Linked DNA regions of Saccharomyces cerevisiae S288C. The gene in region 1 interacts genetically with each later gene. Each region holds a gene or a part of one and is shown in the gene's direction. Other genes may lie near its edges.

Evidence for each region.
Region 2: mutations in SOL4 (region 1) and ICL1 together harm fitness less than expected from each alone (positive genetic interaction), as found in Saccharomyces cerevisiae (one large-scale study listed by BioGRID).

Annotation. Positions count from the first base shown.
Region 1 is NC_001139.9:978,639-990,277, forward strand, and holds SOL4 (6-phosphogluconolactonase SOL4), read left to right. Parts: upstream 1-7,333; coding exon 7,334-8,101; downstream 8,102-11,639. Other genes in the region: LSC2 (succinate--CoA ligase (GDP-forming) subunit beta), read right to left, coding at 1-681; SDA1 (Sda1p), read right to left, coding at 1,127-3,430; transcription factor TFIIIB subunit BRF1, read right to left, coding at 3,844-5,634; CPD1 (2',3'-cyclic-nucleotide 3'-phosphodiesterase), read left to right, coding at 6,328-7,047; MGA1 (Mga1p), read left to right, coding at 9,411-10,781. UniProt on the Saccharomyces cerevisiae protein: Involved in the pentose phosphate pathway via hydrolysis of 6-phosphogluconolactone to 6-phosphogluconate.
Region 2 is NC_001137.3:278,915-291,742, reverse strand, and holds ICL1 (isocitrate lyase 1), read left to right. Parts: upstream 1-4,828; coding exon 4,829-6,502; downstream 6,503-12,828. Other genes in the region: RRT13 (Rrt13p), read right to left, coding at 944-1,501; VHR2 (Vhr2p), read left to right, coding at 7,521-9,038; THO1 (Tho1p), read right to left, coding at 9,377-10,033; glycerol-1-phosphatase GPP2, read left to right, coding at 11,061-11,813; fatty acid synthase CEM1, read left to right, coding at 12,117-12,828. UniProt on the Saccharomyces cerevisiae protein: Catalyzes the formation of succinate and glyoxylate from isocitrate, a key step of the glyoxylate cycle, which operates as an anaplerotic route for replenishing the tricarboxylic acid cycle.

The DNA of each region.
Region 1 (11,639 bases):
TTCCATGAATATTTTATACAAATTGGAAACAGCTTTTGCTGCCTCGTCTTGTGCATCGGGACTGAAACCGAGACTCTTGGCAACATCCTTGGCCATTTGTGGGCTCAATCCCTTTGAAGTTTCAATTGAAAATTTCTTTATAGCATCTGGGGTTCTCTCAGCCACCTCTTCAATATTCATACCACCTTGACTGGACGCAATGATCATCGGTTTCTTGGTTTGTCTGTCCATTAGAATAGATAAATAAGCTTCATGCTTTGTATCTACTCTTTTCACTATATATACAGCAGATACTGGCTTCCCCGCTATTCCCGTCTGTTTAGTAATCAGGTTATGATTGAGCATTTCTTTTGCAACATCCTCTGCCTGCTGAGGACTTTCGATCATGTGAACACCGCTTTTGTAACCGGTGTCGAAGTGACCTTTACCTCTACCTCCGGTCAATGCCTGCGCCTTGATGACCAGTTTGTTAGTGTTTAATTTCTTGGCTGCTTCGAAAGCCTCTTCGGGAGTGAACGCTGGAAATCCTTCTGGAGTACCAATACCGTATTCCCTCAATAACTGAGCTGACCTGTATTCATGAATTGACAAGTGTCTCCTTGCTTGTAAAGCAGCTTGCGCGTTTAGCCTGCTTAATTGCCCACACTTTGAAATTAGGGATAAGGATTTTCTTGAGTACATTTTGTTCAGTTGCAATGCTTCAGTATTTTTTTCGATTGTATTGACTCAATCCTTATTAATCCTAACTACCTAAAAGTCAGTTACAAAAAAACTGGACTATCGCTCTATAGTCACTGTTATTTTTCGAGAGAAAACGTCAAAGTGCTGATAAGGAAAACGTCGATCTTATATAAAACCTCAAAGATGTTGACTACGCGGCAATTGAAAGGCCAACCAACTTTTAGAATACTCACTCCGCCGCTGCGGGGAAAAGCCGAGAATTCCCGATGAACACATAATCGATACCAGTTGGAGCATTTTTCTCTGTACCAAGACATAAAAAGAGTTTTTTTTAGTATCTACCTGGCTTTGGTGTTCCATTCAAGGTAGAGAAGTCCTCATACAGTTGGAGAGATGAATGTATCTGTGTATATGTATGTATATATTAATATGGCTACGATGTCGTCTAATACCCCTTCTTCTTTTGTTTGGTGATGTGTGCACGTAACACTTTTTGCTTGTCTCGTAGTGACATTTTTTGTTTACCTCTAACAGATCTCTTGTGAATAGACATAACAAAGTTCTTCCTTCTTTCTTTTTCTCTGTTGGTAGTAGAACGCATGTTGTCACGCTTACCGCGTCTACTACCAAATTTGTCTCTACCTTCACGACCTTCCAACACCTTTTGTAATCTTTCCTCACGAGACTGTTTGTATTTGATAGGGCCTGTTAGTGTACTTGCATCAACTAACTCTTCACGCTTGTCTTGTTTGTGGATACCCATTATTTTAGCAACGCTTTCCTCATTACGCAATTCTTGTAGTTTAGCGAAATCTGCCGGAGTTAAAATACGTGTAGAAGCAATTTCACGGAAGGCAGCTTCGGGATCTATATCTGCATCTTCTTGCTCATCCTTCACTTCTTTTTCATCGTCATCATCGCTTAGTTCCAAATCGGAATCTGATTCCTTGCCCTTAGCATTGTCTTTTTCATCGTCACTATCTTCCATATCAACGTCATATTCTTTATCACTATCCATGGTGACCCACTCACCGTCGACATCGTCTTCTTCGCTATCGACATCTACTTCCCAGTTGGCATCAGCGTCTTCATTTTCACTCTCTTCACCATGTTCTTTCTTCCATTTGGCTAACAGTTCGATACCAGCAATCCCTTGAACACTGTTGTCGGCACCAAATTGCGGTCTTTTTGAATCTTTACCTCCTTTCTTGGCTTCTTGTACTTCCATGGCGGCATTCTTACCACGATCCTTCTTCTTTAGCATTTCTGGTGCCACGTCTCTATACAACGCTATCAATGACTTGGCAGCCATATTGACACCTTTAGCTTTAGACCCCTTATATTCTACCAGATCCTGTAGTAGAATCTCATCGATAGCCAAAGGTGCACGAGAGCATATTTCTCTAATGGTATTAATGCCTGCAGCAGCGACTTCATTGGCAACACCGTCTGATACAAACTCGTCTGCAATCTTTCTCACCATGACATTTATAACTTCAGGAGGGACAAGATCATGACATGCTTGGGCACATGCGGACATAATTCTTGTAACATCTCTTTGTTTCGGAGTTAAGTACTTTAAAAAAAAAGTATAAATTCCTAAAACAATTAACTTATGGGTACCAATCAACCTTGATAACAGCTGCATCAAAGATATTTTTTGTTCCATGTCAAATTTGTTTTTCGTTTTGCCTGAAAGATGTTCCTTAAACAATTTTTCGGCAAATCCTTGTGGATCTCTCAAAAGGTGGATAGCACTGAAGTTTAAATACCCTTGAGGAGCACCCGGTCCGTTCTTCTTCTTCTTCTTCACAGTTTTTATGGCATTCTCCAGCTTCTTACCACGTCTACCCGTTTTTTTATTGACTTGCATCTTATGCCTTAATGCATCTAAATCAAACCCATCCTCATCCTCGGAATTTTCTTCAAAATTTTCTTCACGTTCTCTGTCAGCATCCAAAAAAAACATCACACCAGACATGACAATCTTAACATCCTGATGTAATGCTGCTTGGGTCATAATTTCTACTGTTCTTGAATCATCCCAAATACCACGTCTCCAAAGTTCTCTGGTTAATTTTGTGGCCCAGATTCCCTGGGAATCTGGTTGATCTAACAAATTAAAGCAAACGGCCTGCGTAGATTTGTTCAATTTTTGATTTTTACCATTAGTATTACAACTTTTTAATAAAGAAATTAAATTTGTATAAATGATTTTCCTCAATTCCTTGGCGTGTGAATTAACGCCGAGTGAATTACCATGGGAAGAGTAAGCAACCAATAAAGGAAATAAGCTTTGAATTAATTCCTCAGCAGTAATGACGTCCTTATTCCTTAACATCGTCAAACAACTTAAGATTTTTTCTTTCAATTCAAATGGCAAGGACTTATGGTGTTCCAGCAAAAGCTGCTTTAATTCAGACGGGAAGTTTGCAGTTTCACGAGGAAAACATGAGCAGACTTGAGATACGAAGCCAACCAATTCAATAAGTTGCGAAGTTGAAGTGCTCATGGTGGTACCGTTAGTACCTGCCATTGTAGAAGATCCATTTCCTACATCGAGCCCATTAGTGGCAGCTGCAGAATCACCTCCAGCAAGCCCATTTAACATAAAAATGTCCCTTAGCGATTCATAATGTGCATATTGTTGAAGAAACTCCTCTTGATAGGACTCTGGGTCACGCTTTACCAAATTCTGTAAAAGAATGATATTTGTTGGGAGCATAGCTGCTCTACTTCTTCTACCCATTGTTGATGCCCTTGATTGGTATATTCAGTGCGTCTTGTGCTTCCTCCTTAACTATTATTACTTATTCAAAAAAGTGACGTTTGATATGTTTTTTTAGTGGTAGAACGTTCTATCTGTTAAGCGTGTTATGGTTATCTGCGATGAGATGAGTTTAAAATTTTCATTTTTTAGCCGATCAAGCAAAAGAAAAGAAAAAAAAAAAAAACTGAAATTTCCACCTTACCCGTTTTTTTAATGGAACAGTGATTGTTACGACATTGAGATTTTAGATTTATATAATCACATACATATTAAATAGTTAATGCACCTTTAATTCTTTTGCACTTCATGTTCTATATATTTTAGCCAAAACCAAATGTATTGCGTCTTTATTTCCGTTCCCTTTTTCCTTCCTAGGGTTGATTACCTAAACGTTACCTAAACAAACCGTCAATGGCGTCGTAATTAATCTTCTTGGAGAAACTTGCCTTCTGCAACATGTTCTTGACACTATCAGCAGTTGTGAAATCACCACTTTCCTCAGCTGCCTTCAATGCAGCGTGTAAACCAGACTTATCTTGTAAGTCTGACATCAATCCGATAGCTGCTGCTGCATCCACAGTTTTTGTAGGTTCGTCACTTCTAGTATTATTCCTACGTCTCGTACGTTTTTTTTTCACTGATGTGTTACCTGTGGCAATATCTGCCTCCTGTTTCAAACGTTTACTCTCTTGTTCAAGTAAGAAATCTGCGTTCAGACCAATCCAAATTCTTTCCTTCAATTTAGAAGCTTCCTCGTTTAATAGGTGCGCGTTTAACTCCTCATCATCAACATCTTCTAAATTATCTGGGTCGTCACTAACTTTCGAAAGGTATGTGTCCGTTGTGGGTAACAAGTGTAAATTGCGAGGACAATATGGGTCTGTTTCTAGAGAGTAACCATCAATGGCATCTTGAAAATGCCCAGATTCGTTCTCTTTCTTTTCTTCTGATGTTTTTGTCTTTACCTTCTTGACTTTTTCCTCAGTCCCTTCCGTCTCTTTGTCTTCCCCTTCAACATGCTCGTTCTGGATAGAAACTTCAGAAAGTTTGCGTTTCCTTGTTTCGTTTTCAGAACCTTCATGGTATATATTTTCACCATCTATACCATTAGTAGCCTTAATCCTCTCCACAACACGGGCCCTTCTTTCTGAAAATTGTTTTAAGTAAAACAGGACTTCCTTGGAAGACAGTTCTTGTTCTCCTAATACTTGCGTCAAAATTGGATTTTTATTCAATGCTTCTTCACTTGTTTGAAACATCTCTTCTTTGTCTAAAGAGTCCTTTATTTTTCTTTCTTTCTTTCTGTTCTTCACAAAGGAGGGAGGCCTAGCCTCACCGTCTTCCACATCATTTTCTCTAAATTTTTGAACTGAAAGTTTAGCAGCCTTTGTATTTTTGAATTCGTTCAACCGTTGCTGTAAAGTTTCCTCGGCGACATGTGAAACTGCGACGATCTCTGTATGAGTTCTTCTCAAATTATTCATCCTGCAAGCTAGTAGAATACATGCGCCGGCAATACCTGCAGGTCTACGTCCTTCAAACATCCAGTCCTTGGACATTCTTTGAGCCAATTTTACGGCATCTTTTACCACTTTGATCTTCTTGTCAGCAAGATCCAATTTTTCGGCAAAATGTTGAATGAATAAGGAAGGATCCGCTAACGGCAATTCTGTGATATGTAATTTCTTTACCATTTTCAAAAATGTGGCTCCTATGGAATACACACTCACCTGTAACCTTGAAGAGAAGTCGATCAGCATATGATGCGTCTTTTCCTTTCTACATGCAACGTAAAGACATGAAGCGATAACATTTTGGGACCTACGACCTTGTACAAAGTTATTAGCCAATGCAAGCTTATACCATTGGAAAGCAGCATCTGTGATATATTCCGGGATATGTAATGCGTAAGAAACGGCGCGTAATTTCCTTCTTGCATTGTTCAATGTGGCTTCTCTAGATTCTAGAGCACTAGAACCACCAAATGCAGCATGACTTTGTCCTGCACCGATAAAAGAACCTTGTACTACAGCAGCACCTGCACTTGTTTCACCGAATGTAACTTCAGAGACGATAGGATTATCTTCTGAGACAACACCACAAGCTTTACAAACTAAATCGTTGTTAGCATTGGAAAGATCTCTCTCAAATTCGGTTCCGTGACAGTTCTTACACACTGGCATTGGTATATGACTATGGACTCTTTTTTATTACCGTTTTTACCATTGGGATTGTTCTTGATGCGATCAAAAATATGATTTTTTTTATCATACCTGATACTTCGCGAAAACCTTAGAATAGCAAATAAGGCCATCGCAACATTAATAGACAAAAATTAGAGTCACTTCACTTCGTTGATTTTTGATAGCGACGGCCGTGACCATTGCAAGATTTCTAATGAGGGGAAGAACAACTTTTCTTGTAGATTACCTCCACTTTAATCGGATGTCTTTTTTTACGTCCAAGAGTATTCAATGTCATCAAGATAGAAGCAAATTTTTCTAACACTAAATGTTATATTGCATCTGTATCAGTATATATGTGTATGTGGGAAGCCATAGTTCACTACTTCACAACTTTAAAAACAATCTATTTTCCTTTGTTCACTAAGTGATTTTGTAGGCGTGATCAAGTGCTTACCGGGGGGTTTTTATTTTTTTTAGGTTAGATCCGATGGAGAAGCGATGCAGGTGAAGTTTAATAAGAACCCAATTCGTAAGCAGGGGCACAAACAATCAAGAAGTTATCAAAGTCACTTTTGAGATACCAAGAATCTAATCAGATTATTTTATCATTTTATTTTACCATCAATTGTAATTATTCTAGTTTGGGAATTCGCGATACTTCAATTTGCTAATATCAGTAACCACAGAAAAATGGCAATAGCATTATGGTATTGTCCACCACAAGGATCAGTTGCTTACGAGACATTACAGATGCTTATATTTTCGTTTCAAACGTTGTTCCCAGATTCACCAGTTTTTGAACCTCATGTGACGGTAACGTCCCATTTGGTGTGCAATAGTAAAGATGATGTCAACAAAATCTTGACCTCCTGTGTTGCTGCCATCCAATCGATAAGGTCACACCAAACAGCAAAGAAAGGACGTAAGGGACAGGTATCCCATGCTGTTGCAGCTCCTTTGGTATCTTTCAATGGATGCAGTGTAGGTAAACAATATTTCAAGAAAATTGTGCTCGAGTGTAACAAGAACAAAATACTTTATGGGGTCGCACAAGTCATGAGAGAGATGTACGTAGAGATCGATCCTGAGACGCGAAGTAGCCGTGCCGCCACTTGGGTGCACGAGGAATTCCATCCTCACGTCTCATTGCTTTATTCGGATATTCATCCGGTAAGTCAGGCGTCATTGCGAGTAGTTCAACAAAGAATTGAAGATGCTCTAGACGTGCAACTAGTTCCAAGAGAGAAACGTAAGGGTTCCGGAAACGCTGATGGGTCCAATGAAGTGCAAATGAGATGGGATTTTGACGTATCTTCATCGCTATCTTGGAATATCCCAGGAACGTTTAAAGTGGTCAACTGTGTGGGGCCCGTTCAAGAATGGGAGGTATTGGGACGGGTGGACGTTTAAGCATACATTTATGTGCACTGTAAGTAATTATATAGAATTTTTTTTTTTTTTTTTTTTTTCATATCTGTCAATACTTGAAAATGTTCTAGTTAGAGATTTACGTATACTGATCGCTTGCCTTCGCAAGGGATGGAAATCCCTTGAAAATTAAAAAAATCCCCCCCTAAGCAGCGAAAATTGTAAGATCCATAATATTTAAGAAATGACGAAGAACGTAGTCTTATCGCAGCAGTTTTCCAAACAAAGAATGCCATTCATCAAATAATCCACAACCACCTCAAGAAAAATGGTGAAATTACAAAGGTTTAGCGAAAAGAAAAGCCTCATACACGAATTCGGCAAGTTTATCCTTGAAAAGCAAGAATCGGCGTTAACGGGCGACGCTGATGCAGTGTTCAATATCGCCATCAGTGGAGGATCGATGAACCAAGCGCTGTACGAAAGTTTGGTAAATGACAAAAACATTTTTCCACATATTAAGTGGCCACAATGGAGAATCTTCTTCTGTGACGAAAGATTGGTTCCATTTGAGGATCCGCAAAGTAACTATGGTCAGTTCAAAAAAACAGTTTTGGACCCGCTAGTGCATCAGGGCAACCAATTGAACTTAGGCCCCACTGTATACACTATCAACGAATCATTAATCGGTGGCGGTGAAACGGCCAATAGAAAGATTGCCGAAGAATACGCTTCCATGCTGCCTGCATCATTCGACCTAATCTTACTCGGATGCGGAGAAGATGGACATACATGCTCGTTGTTTCCCGGGGTTGAATTTAATTACCTTGTAGAAGAGATGGACCGCAAGGTTTTATGGTGTAATAATTCGCCCAAGGCACCCAAGGACAGGATCACCTTTACATTAGCAGTAGTAGCCGAGGCTAAAAGTGTGTGCTTTCTCGTTAGGGGAGCTGCTAAAAAGGCTATCATGCATGACGTGTTAATCGTAAAAAATAGCGAACTACCTAGTGTGCTGGTTAATGAAATGGTCGGAACCAAAGTAACTTGGTTTCTCGACGACGAAGCTGGCGCCTTGATTCCTGAAAACTGCTAATTACACTCGTCTTTATACGAAACTGGCTCCGTTAATCACGACAGACAACCTTAATTACATTACATAATAATAAATAAATGACAACTGTCTTCTTTACAGCGTATGTTGGAGCTTACTCCCGAAGCATAAACCCAGTTCTTCTAGAAGAATTGACAGCAGAAAGGAAAGGGGTACCGAAGGCAAACTCAACCTTAAAAGTTCCGTAAGCAACCGAGCCTCCGCGAAGGTTGCATAACTTAAAAGAAAAACATAGCTCACCCGGTGATACCGTTACAACGCGTTAATCTTAATGCTATGACTCGGAACCACCTGCAAAACAGCGCTAACGGAAATTTCCATGGAAATAGAATAAGGGACGCAGCAGGGTTTTTTTTTTTGGCGAGCACACGAAATATAAAATTGCTTCGGGCCAGCTGCATGGAAGGGTTAATTTCGCCCCTTTATCGCAAGCTACGCAGTTCTCCTGGCTCGAGAATGAATCTGGCCCGCCGCAGACGTTTCCTGGCCCCAGATTAGGAAGCAGCGGCGGCGGAACGGAAGGTGCTCTAAGCAAAATAAGGAATATTAGCCACGCCGGTAATTCCCCTCCTTTGGTCTGCCCCTGGTCTGCCCCTTTCGTTTTTTATTTTTTTTTGGGTGAACGGAATACTCCGTGGGCGGCACAAGGAGAGCCTGCGTAGGAATCTGTGCGTCTCAGTCGGGCGGGCCGATTTAGCACCGATGGTTCGCTTTGGCTTGGGCTTACGGTGACTGCGAGATTTGCAGATTAGTGCATATCCGCGCCTTTGTATGACGTGAAGCGATCCGCCCTGAACAACTTGTTACGTATATGATGTTGACTCTGCGCCCCCGTCTCTCTGGTTGCTGCCTTCTGCGCTGATTTGGTGCAATCTTTCTTTTTTGTCTTTGAAAGATTTAAGCTTTTTTTCGAGAAGAAAAAGGAGGAACCGAAAAAATAATCTTTCAGTTGTTGACCCGTAGAGCAGAAAATGGAAGGCAGTAGATATCCATATCGAAGGAAAAGCACAAACTTATCACGTTTAGGGTATTCATTAACGTTGAAGTAATCAGGTAGTGAATAGCTCGAAGTTTTCCATGCTTTCCTTTCGGTTGCATCTTTCTTCCTTTGGGGTTTTATCTTGATACGTCGTTACTTACCTTTTTTTCCAATATATATATATTGGTAGTAGCTGATCATTGCAGAAGATCTAGATCTCCTTTACACGCTTTAAGGTTAGGCAGCTGTAACCCCTATATTGAATTTTCACCCACGCCATAAAATACAATAGCTCAGAGAACCGGTGGCCACATGCAACCTAAAACTTTCGTCCACCAACTTCATGCAATTCTTCTGGAACCGGAAGTAAATAAATGGATATACTGGTCTCCGACTGATAACACGGTATTTTTTTTGAAGCCATATGACCCTAATTTTAGTACACATGTTCTGAAGCGTTATTTCAAACATGGAAATGTCAATAGTTTTGTTCGTCAACTACACATGTACGGGTTTCATAAACTATCTCATCCTTCCCCAGACCAATCTTCTGCCAACAATGGTAACGTTAAAGAACTTGTTGAATGGAAATTTACCCACCCATCTGGATTCTTCTTCAAAGAGGCCAACGCCGGTATCTTGAATAAAATCCAAAGAAAGAGCACTGGTGTGGGAAAAGATGGTAAAAGAAAGAATATACTGTCACCAATATCTGTCAGTTACGTTGATGCTTCGAGGTTAAATGTTCTCTCTCAGCAATCCGGACCAGTTTCTGCAAGAGAACCATCAAACATGTTTATGGGCAGTCCCGTCCATTACTCAACATCCCAAAGTCCTCCACATATCAGTATACCGCAACAGCAACAAAGTAGTGGACCTTACCTAATATCTTCACTGCCCCCTCAACAACCCACGGTGAACATGATGCGAAGGCAAAGCATCTCGGCGAGGATGATGAATTCTTATGACTATCCCAATCAATTTTCCACCCAAGATAGCATAGTCCAGCCTCAGCAGCCGCAACAAGTACTTTCTCCACAAGCATTATCTGGACCTCCGATGAAGAAATCAGGAACACTATCTTCGACAGATGATCTGAAAACAACTTCCTTGCCAATTGTTAATTACCCAATGCCGTATCATCCTGGAGCTTTTGCCCAGCAGCAGCAGCAGCAGCAGCAACCGCTCCCTACAGTCCCGCCATATAGCAGTTACTCCACTCCATTTCCCTCAATGATGAACTCTCTTTCGAACTCTGCTTCTAACTCACCTGCTTTAGGAGTTTGTAATAATAATGTAACACTACCCAAAAAAAGCAATATAAGTGAAAGGCAAGCTTTGGATAACCATATACAAACTTTAAAGAACTCTCTATCAACAATCACTGATTTGATAGAAAAACATATTAACAGCGCATCGCAAGATGAAAATAAAACTCTAACTAATGATGCCATGAACAAAGACCTTCGAACAAGCTTATCCCTATTACAGAATTCCAAGGAGGAAATCATTCAACTTGAAAGTAAATGGATGTCTATGCAATCTGTTAAAACAACTGCCCTACCCCTTCAAGAGACTACGAATACATCATCGACCTTAACTTCTCTGACGTCCAGCATAATTCCCAAGAGTATACCTATAATCACGAAAGGTGAAGTCGCCACTAAACCAGCATCTTACTGAATTATTTTCAACAGAACACATCGCATCCAACTGAACAAACTGTTACCGCTGTTGATACCAAGGAACATTCAGTGAACGTAGGGAAGAACGAACATTCTCCATATTTTTGCATACTAGATACAAGGGGGAAGAATGCAATTATTTCACAAACCGAAAGAAAAAGAATCACAAGCTATGTTTGCTATTATCAATTTTTCTTATGATTAATTTAACATAAATTATGGCCTTTTTCATTCCGGCTGCGCTTGTTCTCCAATTTTTTTTTTTTTTTTGAGAAAACTTTAAAAATTTCAAATGTAAGAAAGTAGAGCAGATCTTTTAGCAAGGATCCGCTTAACATTCCAACAAAAAAGGAAAAATAAAACAATAATTTCGTTCCCCATCTATCCTTCGCCTCTCCTTCGCTCTGTAATTTTTTTTACTCGCGCGCTTCCGACTTTTGAAAGAAGGAGCAATAAAGTTAAATAAATGTAATTAAATTATGCTTTTTTAGGCAAGTTCGGGACTTTGTTGCCACGTATTGCTCTTCTATGCAAGCACTTCACTCCTTTTCTTTCATCTCTGTTTTCTTCCACTGGCTGGAAGCTTGAGGGTTGCCTCTTGATTCTTTATCGCCTGCAACCATTGCCTTGTTCCGTCCTCTCAAGGCGTTCCTTCCGTGCTTTTTAAATACTAGAATCATTCGAGACGTATTTATGAGCATGTTACTTCTTGATGTTTATCTAAGAGGGTTGTTTAGGTTATCCGCATTATTTTTAAAGTTTTAAGGTTACATCATTTATTCAGACGCGTTCGGAGGAGAGTGCATTCACCAAGATGTAAATTTCTTCAGTTTTCCGGATTAGGATTGGAAAAATG
Region 2 (12,828 bases), on another chromosome or scaffold:
TCCACATTATGCTGGTTGCCTCGAGGATATTATTTTTTAGCACATCCGCAATCTCGCCACACCGCATTTCCGTTCCTTCGGCCCCTGAATCTGGGGTAAAAAAAAAAAAAGCAGTCATCTGGAGATTGTATCACCCAAAAAGAAATACGTTTCTGGCTCGTAACAGGTATGACAACACGTTGTCAGAATACCAAAGTTTAGTCTGAACATTTGACTGCGTGTATATCGGAAACGCTGGATTTTTGGTGCCACCTTCTTCGTTCATGGCATATGTGTAAGTCACGTAGGATTAATGTCATCAATTTCATGAGTTGAGTGAAAGTGCAACTTTACAATGTAGTCAACATACTGCACCGTCATCATTACATATTTCAGATTAAGGGTGATAATGCCGCTTTCATAATTCCTATTGAAACCTTGTATTGGCATATGATACTTCAGGAAGATGTGTTCGGCAATCGTTGCTTTTACTTCGGTACTCTTGACAGATTATGTCATTTATTCGCACCAGTAAGGATGTAGCTCTTGTCTTCTGTAGCCGAATTATCGAAGTTAATGAATAATATTACACACAGCTACAGTTTCAGGAAAAATATGAGACGAGTCGCAAATAAGCGGCCATTGTATACATTATGACAAAGTGAGTGTGATAATTACTGCATGGCCCAATGCATGAAAATATGGGTCAACTTGTACCACATTTGCTACAAATGGACGATAACTGAACTGGGCATAAACAAAATTACTTTTTCCTCGATTTTAGTCCTGCTGATTGAGCTAATAATACATAGCTCGCATGTAATTAATGTTGATATATTAAACTAATAAATAGCACATAACTTATTAATGTAAATTCTAAAGTTTTATATTTGTTTACACCGAAAAAGTACAACTGAGTTCCAAACGTGACAAGGTAAGTTCTGCATCATTCTCACATCAATCTTCAACTAAAGTCCAAAATTTCTAAAAGATTTCGCTTGTCTCGTTCTACCGCTGCCACAAGTGTGTTGTCCTTAAAACTAACGTTCCAAACATTATCAGCACCACTCAATGTATCTGAACGGACTAACAGCCCACTATTTAAATCATAAATATTGAGCAAACCTTCAGATCCACTCACTAATACCTCATCAGAAACGTGCAATGCGGTGATTGTATTCAACTGCGTGTGATCGAAAAAGTGCTTCAGAAAGTAAGTGTTAGCGTCCCAACACCTTATTGAACCGTCTACAGAAGCACTGACTAAAAATTTATCGGATAATCCCAATAAACCGACTAGGGCTCTGTGACCCCGCAAAGTGTACATAGCACCAAGTATTTTGGCGCATGGCGATGCTGAATTTGTTGCGTAGGAACATTCTCCATTATTCCTTATATTTTCCAAATCCCAAATTCTAATAGTGGTATCCATACTGGCAGAGATGCACCTTTTTCTTTCATGATCGTAGATTGTCGAATAAATACGATCCGTATGTCCACTCAAGATATATAGACATTTCATTTGCGCAACATCCCACACAATCAATGTATTATCATAGGAGCCACTAATGGCAATATTACCGTGGCCTGAGACAGTTCTTACAGTCGCCGTATGTCCTCTTAAAACACCAACAAAATATGGGTTCTCCTCAGGGGTATGAAAGACTAATGGATAATCATGTTCTTCCCCATGATCAGGAACGGAGGACTCCTTGGGCAATTTCCAAACGTGCAAAGTGTTATCTCTCGAACCAGTAACAATGTACTTGATATTTTTATATTCTACTATATCTAGGCACCTCACCGTAGAGTTATGACCTTTAAACACATGGGTACAACAACCTTTCTTAATATCTCAAACTCGCACCGTTCTGCCTGTAGAACCGCTGACTAAAATACCGCCATGGGCATACTTCAATGCCCAAACCTCACCATCATGACCTGATAGTTGTAAAAGAAATCTTTTATTTACTAAGTTATAAACTCTGATCGTTTTATCACATCCTCCTGTAATGACATAATTATCTTCAACTTGCAAGCACGCAATAACACTCGTCATATGGCCACTTAACGTGGTCCTTTGAGGTGTATAATCAGGATCAAACAAATTTACCAAAACAGACATTTCAGACACAACTTCCAGTACTTTATTAAAGCTTCGCAGATAGACGTTCTGATATAATTCCAAGGTAATAGAAAGCGATTGCTGTTTAAGTTGAACATGGTTTGCATTGATTTATTTAAACTTCGGGTAAATTGCTGGCTGCAACTTTCATTTAGACGAAAATGCAAAATCAATTGCCCCTTGTTGATAGCTTTAAGTGGAAGCCGTTGACTAGGTTTTAACGGGAGTGTGACTCCAAATGAAAAAATTATTGAAAGCTAAGATTATTTTGCACTATGACATTCTCGATAATCCCTTGGAAAGATTTAAGTGATTAGTCCGAGTACCGATATGGTTGAGAATCAAAGGTTTCTTTTCACAACGGTGACCCCACCATTTGAAAAAAAAAAAAAAATGAAAACGATGGCAACGCCCTTATCTGGCGTGGTTATTACCATAGAAAAGTTTATTCAATGTTTTTGTTATTCTCACTGACACAGACAGCATTTTGGAATATTGCATTCCTAACATATTGCTACATTAGCAATTGAAAGGGCAGTCGGAACTATCACGTAGTTTGAAAATGTCTTCCCGCTTAGCTCATTATGCATAAGCTTGTGCACGGCGTCATGGTCCATTTACTGTACATGGTAAGAAAGTTTTATTCCACCTACACTGATGTTGGCTGGTATGTTGATGGTTTTTGATAATTCACGTGTAATTAAGAACATCGAAACACTATCTGATGTATTTTTTATTGTTGAAATTTCTGACTCGTTTACAACCTACAAGCCCATACTGAGCTAAGTTTGCCATGTGCCCATCTATCTGTATTCGTGTCGAATCGGAAAATTATTATGGTACTTTTGTGTTGGAGATGGACAATAGAACGGTATGATGAGGCTTTGGTATTTTCATTTTAACAAGTGAATTTGAGAATTGGGTGATTTGTGATTATATTTGGGTGCACTGTTGGAAAAGGCTATAATATTACGCATACAGGATATACTGGTAGCATGAATACTACCCCAAATGGATGATATTTTAGGGTTTCATTGTAACAGATATCGGTGGATGTGTTCTTATTTTTATATGTCTCTGATAGTGGTTCTTTTTTGGGAAATTCATAATGATAGGCACTATGGCCGAGTGGTTAAGGCGACAGACTTGAAATCTGTTGGGCTCTGCCCGCGCTGGTTCAAATCCTGCTGGTGTCGTTTTTTTTATTGTTAGAGGTGCCTTGAAAATGCTACATTCATGAAAAGTAGTTGAACTGCTTGGAGACCATATTTACTGGAATATCTTCATATGGTCGAAGGCCGTTTGATGCTTCCAAACTGAATGTTGGGCTGGAATAAATTTTGTAATAGTAGTGCTTCAAATGAATTATTTTTTTTTCATTTTCAATACGCAAATGTAAATGACGCGTACGCTGGGACTGATAAGGTTTGTATTTAGATTCTTCCTGGCCTAAACATTATGTTAACTAGGTTTGTTTTTAGCGCAATTTCATTAGTTCTCAAGGAGCACTACAGATTCTTATTCACTATGGTTTAAGTTATTTCTAGAAAATATAGTGTGATCATCGTCATATATTTTTCGGAATAAAAATTCACACTCACTTATCGACTATTAATCATATTACTAGTATATTACCATATACTCTGTAAGAGGATGACATAAAGAAAGATAACAAAATTAAGAGACAGCCATCAAAATTTAATGGAAGCTGAAATGCATGATTTTGGAAATGTAAAGGATAATGAGTGAGCATATAAAATGGAAGAAAAAATAATAATAGGATTATGTATAAAATATCGATTCCCTTTTGTAGATTTCGAGATCTTCGAGGAGAACTTCTAGCACGTTGTTTACATATCTAATGTTGTAACACGGCCTTTGTTATCTTGTGAATATATCCATCACCTACGTCGCTTGAGGTTTCGTATCAAAGAAAGAGAGTTCAAACATAATCATACGTGTTTCACTCCAAATTTGATCACAAATGGCCACCCATTATAGCTTGTTATTATTTACTTCTTCTTGAGTTCATTTTATTGAAAGATGCCCGCTGGGAACAAAACATAAATAAAATTCAAGAGTACAATATAGCGTAGCATAGTTGCGAGCAAGGGAAGGCAACACAGTTAAAATGACAATGTTAGAAGGAAAAACTAAATCAAGCTCCCATAGGAAATTTCTTGTGTCAGTAATATGTCTCGAGAAAATAATAATAATTGAATCTATTTATTGAAAAGTAAATATCTCGTAACCCGGATGCTTTGGGCGGTCGGGTTTTGCTACTCGTCATCCGATGAGAAAAACTGTTCCCTTTTGCCCCAGGTTTCCATTCATCCGAGCGATCACTTATCTGACTTCGTCACTTTTTCATTTCATCCGAAACAATCAAAACTGAAGCCAATCACCACAAAATTAACACTCAACGTCATCTTTCACTACCCTTTACAGAAGAAAATATCCATAGTCCGGACTAGCATCCCAGTATGTGACTCAATATTGGTGCAAAAGAGAAAAGCATAAGTCAGTCCAAAGTCCGCCCTTAACCAGGCACATCGGAATTCACAAAACGTTTCTTTATTATATAAAGGAGCTGCTTCACTGGCAAAATTCTTATTATTTGTCTTGGCTTGCTAATTTCATCTTATCCTTTTTTTCTTTTCACACCCAAATACCTAACAATTGAGAGAAAACTCTTAGCATAACATAACAAAAAGTCAACGAAAAATGCCTATCCCCGTTGGAAATACGAAGAACGATTTTGCAGCTTTACAAGCAAAACTAGATGCAGATGCTGCCGAAATTGAGAAATGGTGGTCTGACTCACGTTGGAGTAAGACTAAGAGAAATTATTCAGCCAGAGATATTGCTGTTAGACGCGGGACATTCCCACCAATCGAATACCCATCTTCGGTCATGGCCAGAAAATTATTCAAGGTATTAGAGAAGCATCACAATGAGGGTACAGTCTCTAAAACTTTCGGTGCCCTAGATCCTGTCCAGATTTCTCAAATGGCAAAATACTTAGACACAATCTATATTTCTGGTTGGCAGTGTTCATCAACTGCTTCCACCTCAAATGAACCTGGTCCAGACTTAGCTGATTATCCAATGGACACCGTTCCAAACAAAGTGGAACATTTGTTCAAGGCCCAATTGTTTCACGACAGAAAACAACTAGAGGCACGGTCAAAGGCTAAATCTCAGGAAGAACTCGATGAGATGGGTGCCCCAATTGACTACCTAACACCAATTGTCGCTGATGCAGACGCAGGCCACGGCGGTTTAACCGCAGTCTTCAAATTGACCAAGATGTTCATTGAGCGTGGTGCTGCTGGGATCCACATGGAAGACCAGACATCTACAAATAAGAAATGTGGGCATATGGCAGGAAGATGTGTTATACCCGTTCAGGAACATGTTAACAGATTGGTGACTATTAGAATGTGTGCTGATATCATGCATTCTGACTTAATTGTCGTTGCTAGGACTGATTCAGAAGCAGCCACTTTGATTAGCTCAACCATCGATACCAGAGATCATTATTTCATTGTCGGTGCCACCAATCCAAATATCGAGCCATTTGCCGAAGTTTTAAATGATGCCATCATGAGTGGTGCATCAGGACAAGAACTAGCTGACATTGAACAAAAATGGTGTAGAGACGCTGGACTCAAGTTATTCCATGAAGCCGTCATTGATGAAATTGAAAGATCAGCCCTGTCAAATAAGCAAGAATTGATTAAGAAATTCACCTCTAAAGTGGGTCCATTGACTGAAACATCCCACAGAGAAGCCAAGAAGCTCGCTAAAGAAATTCTTGGCCACGAAATTTTCTTCGACTGGGAGCTACCACGCGTAAGGGAAGGGTTGTACCGTTACAGAGGTGGGACGCAATGTTCTATCATGAGGGCCCGTGCATTTGCTCCATATGCTGATTTGGTATGGATGGAATCTAACTACCCAGACTTCCAACAGGCCAAGGAGTTTGCAGAAGGTGTTAAAGAGAAATTCCCTGACCAATGGCTAGCTTACAACTTGTCTCCATCCTTTAACTGGCCAAAAGCCATGTCCGTTGATGAACAACACACCTTCATCCAAAGGCTGGGTGATCTAGGTTACATCTGGCAATTTATCACATTGGCCGGTTTACACACTAACGCTTTAGCTGTCCATAACTTCTCTCGTGACTTTGCCAAGGATGGGATGAAAGCTTATGCCCAGAATGTTCAGCAGAGGGAAATGGACGATGGTGTTGATGTGTTGAAACATCAAAAATGGTCTGGTGCGGAGTACATCGATGGGTTATTGAAGTTAGCTCAAGGTGGTGTTAGCGCAACAGCTGCTATGGGAACCGGTGTCACAGAAGATCAATTCAAAGAAAATGGCGTAAAGAAATAGGACAAGGATTAACCATTAGAACTGCCGGCATTTCCTGACAAGTATATATATTCGTAATCTCAATGTATATTTTTTTCATATATAAACATGCGTACTTAAAAACTTAAACTCATCGTTACTGCAGTACAATGTTCTCTAATGGCATCTCTCTAATGGTACTCCAACTAAAGTCAACATTCTCTCCGTGCAAGAATGCCTTTCTCTAGTTGCAAAAACGAGTCAATAAACATCTTTGATCGAGTCGCCTCATTTTTGTTGACTCGGTGACTAAAATCAGTGCCATTTCTGTCCATGCCTCGTGCGCGAATGATTGAATCGAACTAATCCCGAACACAATCATAGTATCGTATCGCCCATTAGTGCCGTGAGTGTACGCGAGGCAAAAGGCACCATGGAAAATATTCCCTTAGTCATCTTGGAAATCATTGAGACTGTAAAGGAACTCGCAAACGGGTAACCGATATTTACCCCACCTTTGGTCGAGAAATTCCACCTGTTCGGCAATTTTTGCCGCTCTTCTCAAGAGCAAAAGGCGTTTTTTTTTCTGACACGCCTCTTCTCTCGCATGCCAAACTCAAGCGTCCTACATGCTTTTCTCATGAAAGCCAAGTGCGGGATGAAAAACATAAAATGTGACAAATAGTGCCACCTCATAATGTAATCGAGAGGCAAAATTAATCACTTTGTTCTCCCTTTTCTTTTTTCTGGGCGCTCAAAGTGAGATGCTTTCTGTAGAAAATAACATGGCCGTTAGAAGGTACTCGTCATCTTTTAGCTGCCGCATACATGTACACACACACACACACACACACGCACGCACATATATATATATATATATATATATATATATATATATTAAACATGATGGCAAAAAACCGAACTAAGTGCTCCTGTTCTATTTTTATATTCTTGCTTTTCATATTTCTCTAGCTGTATATTACCTTTAGCATATTCAAACATCTTAACCGGAAAATATCTCAGCAAAAAAAACAGCAACAGTCAGAGTAAAAATTGCAAGATGATTGACGATACTGAGAACTCCAAAATTCATTTGGAAGGTAGCCATAAAACAGGAAAGTATACGGGCTATGGTACTACACATAAAATCAGAGCTCAGTTAAACTTTAATGATGAAAAGAAATGGAAGAAGTTTTCTAGCAGAAGACTAGAACTCATTGACTCATTTGGCTTGAGCCAGCACAAAGCAAGTGAACAAGATGATAATATAAGACAAATAGCCACCATATTAAGGAGTGAATTTGAGTACCCTGATACGTTTTCGGCAGAATTTGAAAAGTTGGTTACCGCTGCTGTTCAATCGGTGAGAAGAAACAGGAAACGTTCCAAGAAAAAATTATTAGACTCTAAGAAGAAAATAGCCCGTGGTAAAGTTCAAAAAATTCCTTTGTCTCCCCCCAGCTCAAGTAATATGGGGTCTTGTTCAGCTTCCAATGCATCAAGCTCTGACGAAGAAGCCAGCGTGAAGGAAGAACCTGCTGAGCACGCTCTTCCTTCTCTTAATACTATAACATCACAAAAATTGTTACCTTATCCGAATGGCCGCACTCTTCCACCTGTACCAACTCAAGTTCGCTCTTTACTTAAGAAGAACGCATCTCTTCTTCGTGATCCATCGGCACCGTATGCGCACGGCGGCGATGAAAAATTACAAAAGTTTGATATAGAAGATCAGCCTCTAGAAAGTGAACAAGAATACGACTTTATTGCCAAATCAATAATTGTTGAAATTGTAAATAATGCTATTCCACTACCTGAACAAATTCAAAGAGATAAGTTCATTAGACCAAATTTAACGAAAAAAAAAGGGTGCCAAAGCAAAGTTGTAATATCCAACAACTTGAGAAAACTCATCCTGTCAAAGATACATAACTCAAGGACGTGCTTGGAGATGTCTAAGGATGAAAGAAATTTGGATTCTTTTGCTAATCTAGAAACGCTGGGCAAAAATTCACTAATGGCTTCCATTTCCCTTGTGGTAGAAAACAGCTTTTCACATTTACCGTCTTCTACTAAGCAATATCTTACTGAACGGCTGTCATCAATCGAATTTTTGACTATTCTATCGCAAAGGCTATTTATGCCCGCTACACGTCAACTATTCGCTGACCTATCACAAGAAAAAATTCAGGTGAGAGTGCTGAATCTCATACTGGGATCTCTTGTCAAAGATTATGGGTTTGATGCATCTTTGGCACCAATCAACGAAATTATCTATCACATGACACTCCATCAATATCCCTTGGTTTGTAGTAATAAACAGTCCAATCCAATGAGGCCACACTCCACATCTGAGGTCTTGAGTGCACATTCTTCAACGAAAGATGCAAGCACTCCCGGTAAAGAAGAGCCTCGAGTGACGAGGTCAAGCACATCGGCAGATAGCACTATCATTACATTGCCTTCAATTGAAGTCCCAAATACGTACGATGATGACAGGTTAAAGATGTTGAGCGCGATATCGTTGCAGATTGAAAATTCCACCTTTTCCAAACCATTCAGTACTATTTCAAAATAAATAGGCCCGCTTGCATCATCCCCACCTGCATTACTATGAACTATTTATCATAGCTTATTTTTCCTCTATCATCATTGTAACTTGTACAAGAATGTTCAGTCTGTAAATCTCGCCGCTCATTCTCTACTAGCACTTTACAACGTTGACAGCCACTGTATGTGTAATACAGTGAACCGCCGACTCTTCGGATTTAATAACACAGATTTATTTAGAATAATCTACACATGTTTACGTATGCAACAAATTTTGCACCTTCATATACAAACAACTGCGGTCGTTTAAAAAGTGGGAAAGAACCGAAACTAGAATGAAAAACTCCACCAAAACGGCTTGAGCCTTTATCTTCTGTAACCAGAGCGGTTGCCTCTCCTGTTTTTACTTACTCTGGAGCGGTTGTTTGCATTTTTGTTTCTATTTTTAAATTTACCGTTATTGCCACTTTCAGGTTCATTTTTCCTACTGACAAGGCCCAGTTCTTCAGCCAACTTGCTATTCAAGTCAACACCAAACTTCTCCACACGATTTATCTGTCTTTGTAAAGAGTCAATATCCGCTTGATCTTGACCGAATTTGTTAGCGCGGTGCAGTTTCTTATTTAAAAGATCCAATGCTTTGGCCTTAATTTCTTCTGGTGACAAAGCGGGAGCAGCAGTGGAAGCAGCAGCTTGTTCGTTCTCTGAAGCAGTAGCAGAAGGTCCATCAGAGGGCTTTTGAACGTCCTTATTTTCCTCCTTGGGTTCGTTTGTTTCTTTAGGCTCGCTTGAAACTTCCTTTTTTTCAGTAATGTTCTGGGAGGCTGGTTCTTCTATCGCCGCAGGTTCTGACCCTTGTTCCTGGTTTTGTTCCTGTGGAGAAACTTCACTTTCACCCTTTGATTCTTCATCGTCCTTTATCAGTCTTTGAACTAGTTCATTCTTCAATCCGCCTACAGACAGATTTCTCTTGGTCAGTAAATCTTTCAATTGAACAACAGTAAGGGAAGAATAATCTGCCATTGTAAGTGCTTGTGCTGGCTCCAAGAACAATTCTAGTGGTGAAAAAAATTCTATTCAATATACAGATATCTTTGTAACTTCTGAAAGTAGCGCATCCTGAAAGGACACATTTGAAGAGTCACTATTCAACTTTCTTCTCCCATTCAGCATTATCACGCCCTTCCACCAACGCTGGTTGCATTGTGTTTTCTTACTTCGGCTAGAGACGCCGGGTAATAAAATATATATCCTCGAATGAACCGCTGGCCTCGGCCATTTTCATATGACTTCATATCATTAATATGGCCGTAGGTTAAGCAATGCTACGTGAAAGATACCAATTCCAATCGTCTGCTTTCTCTCAAGAGGAGACTTTGCGTTCTTTAAAGGAGCAGAGAAAGAGGGAAACGGTGAAAAACTTCAATATTGATAACATCCATCAGCGTCTAAATTCCTATGCCTCCTTCGAAAATGGTCAATGTTATACCCTCTCCCATTAGATATTACCGTAGCGTACGTATTTGGCCCTGTCCTTTGGGGTTTGGCCTTCTCAAGTATTTTGGCACCTCGCCCTGAACGAAAAGCTGGCACTTTGTCCCCAGCCAAACTCTTCTCTCTAATATCGTCTTTAACGACAAGGTAAAAAGATTTCTGCAGTGTTCCGTCTGCGTCATCATCTGTGCCCCACAATCCGCGGCGTTTCCGTGTAAGCCGTCAAGTGAGGACTTTTCGGATGCTGAAAGAAAGTACGCTCGGAAAAACTACATAGCTGCCCCCCTAAACGGGCCTCCCACGTGACGTAAAGTAGGAATAATAAGAAGCCAAGTCGTTTCTTTTTATTCTAAATAAGTTCGTTTCTTTTGATGTTGTCATTTTCAGAAATATATATATATGCGCTTAAATACACAAGCTAAAACAACATAGTTAGGATTGCCAAAGGTTTCTTTTCTACTCAATTTGGTCTAACTCTTTTCATATTAATAGCGCCAACCAGCTAGTGTTTACCAGATCAGTGGAAAAACATAAAACAATAAAAACAATATTCGGAATGGGATTGACTACTAAACCTCTATCTTTGAAAGTTAACGCCGCTTTGTTCGACGTCGACGGTACCATTATCATCTCTCAACCAGCCATTGCTGCATTCTGGAGGGATTTCGGTAAGGACAAACCTTATTTCGATGCTGAACACGTTATCCAAGTCTCGCATGGTTGGAGAACGTTTGATGCCATTGCTAAGTTCGCTCCAGACTTTGCCAATGAAGAGTATGTTAACAAATTAGAAGCTGAAATTCCGGTCAAGTACGGTGAAAAATCCATTGAAGTCCCAGGTGCAGTTAAGCTGTGCAACGCTTTGAACGCTCTACCAAAAGAGAAATGGGCTGTGGCAACTTCCGGTACCCGTGATATGGCACAAAAATGGTTCGAGCATCTGGGAATCAGGAGACCAAAGTACTTCATTACCGCTAATGATGTCAAACAGGGTAAGCCTCATCCAGAACCATATCTGAAGGGCAGGAATGGCTTAGGATATCCGATCAATGAGCAAGACCCTTCCAAATCTAAGGTAGTAGTATTTGAAGACGCTCCAGCAGGTATTGCCGCCGGAAAAGCCGCCGGTTGTAAGATCATTGGTATTGCCACTACTTTCGACTTGGACTTCCTAAAGGAAAAAGGCTGTGACATCATTGTCAAAAACCACGAATCCATCAGAGTTGGCGGCTACAATGCCGAAACAGACGAAGTTGAATTCATTTTTGACGACTACTTATATGCTAAGGACGATCTGTTGAAATGGTAATCCTCTAAAATCGAACATATTTGAGTAATAATTCTCAGATACAGTCCTATTCTATATTCGCCACAAAACAAGTAATGATGCTAAAAAACGACACATTTATAAAATCACATCTTATTGATTAAATAAATACGTAGATAGATTTTTTTTTTTAAAACATATAGTGTGCTATTATTTCTGACTCTGTCTCATCTCAGAAAAATAAATGATAAAAAAGGAAGTAAAATCCTTAAACGTTATCAGGTTATTAGCAACTTGAAAGTGACAGGAGCCACAACGGATTAAAATTTAATTTCTAGTAAAGAAATGTCAAGAAGAGTGGTTATCACAGGATTGGGCTGTGTAACGCCGTTGGGAAGATCATTAAGTGAGTCATGGGGGAATCTGCTCTCTTCCAAAAATGGACTCACACCAATCACATCTTTGCCCAACTATAATGAGGACTACAAACTCAGAGAAAAAAGTATCCCATCAACGATAACAGTGGGGAAGATTCCAGAGAATTTTCAAAACGAAAATTCAGCCATCAATAAACTGCTGTTCACTAGCCAGGATGAGAGAAGAACCTCAAGCTTTATCAAGCTAGCACTACGTACAACTTATGAAGCGCTTCACAATGCTGGTCTCTTGAACCCAAATGATATAACCATCAATACATCTCTGTGCAATCTGGATCACTTTGGTTGCCTGATAGGTTCTGGTATAGGATCCATTCAAGACATATACCAAACTTCTCTACAATTCCATAACGACAATAAAAGAATAAATCCATATTTCGTCCCTAAAATCCTTACAAATATGGCAGCTGGTAATGTTTCCATCAAGTTTAACCTTAGAGGATTATCCCATAGTGTTTCCACAGCATGCGCAACAGGTAATAACTCCATTGGCGATGCATTCAATTTTATTCGGTTAGGCATGCAAGACATCTGTGTCGCCGGTGCAAGTGAAACGAGTTTGCATCCGTTAAGTTTAGCAGGTTTCATCAGAGCAAAGTCGATTACTACAAACGGGATCT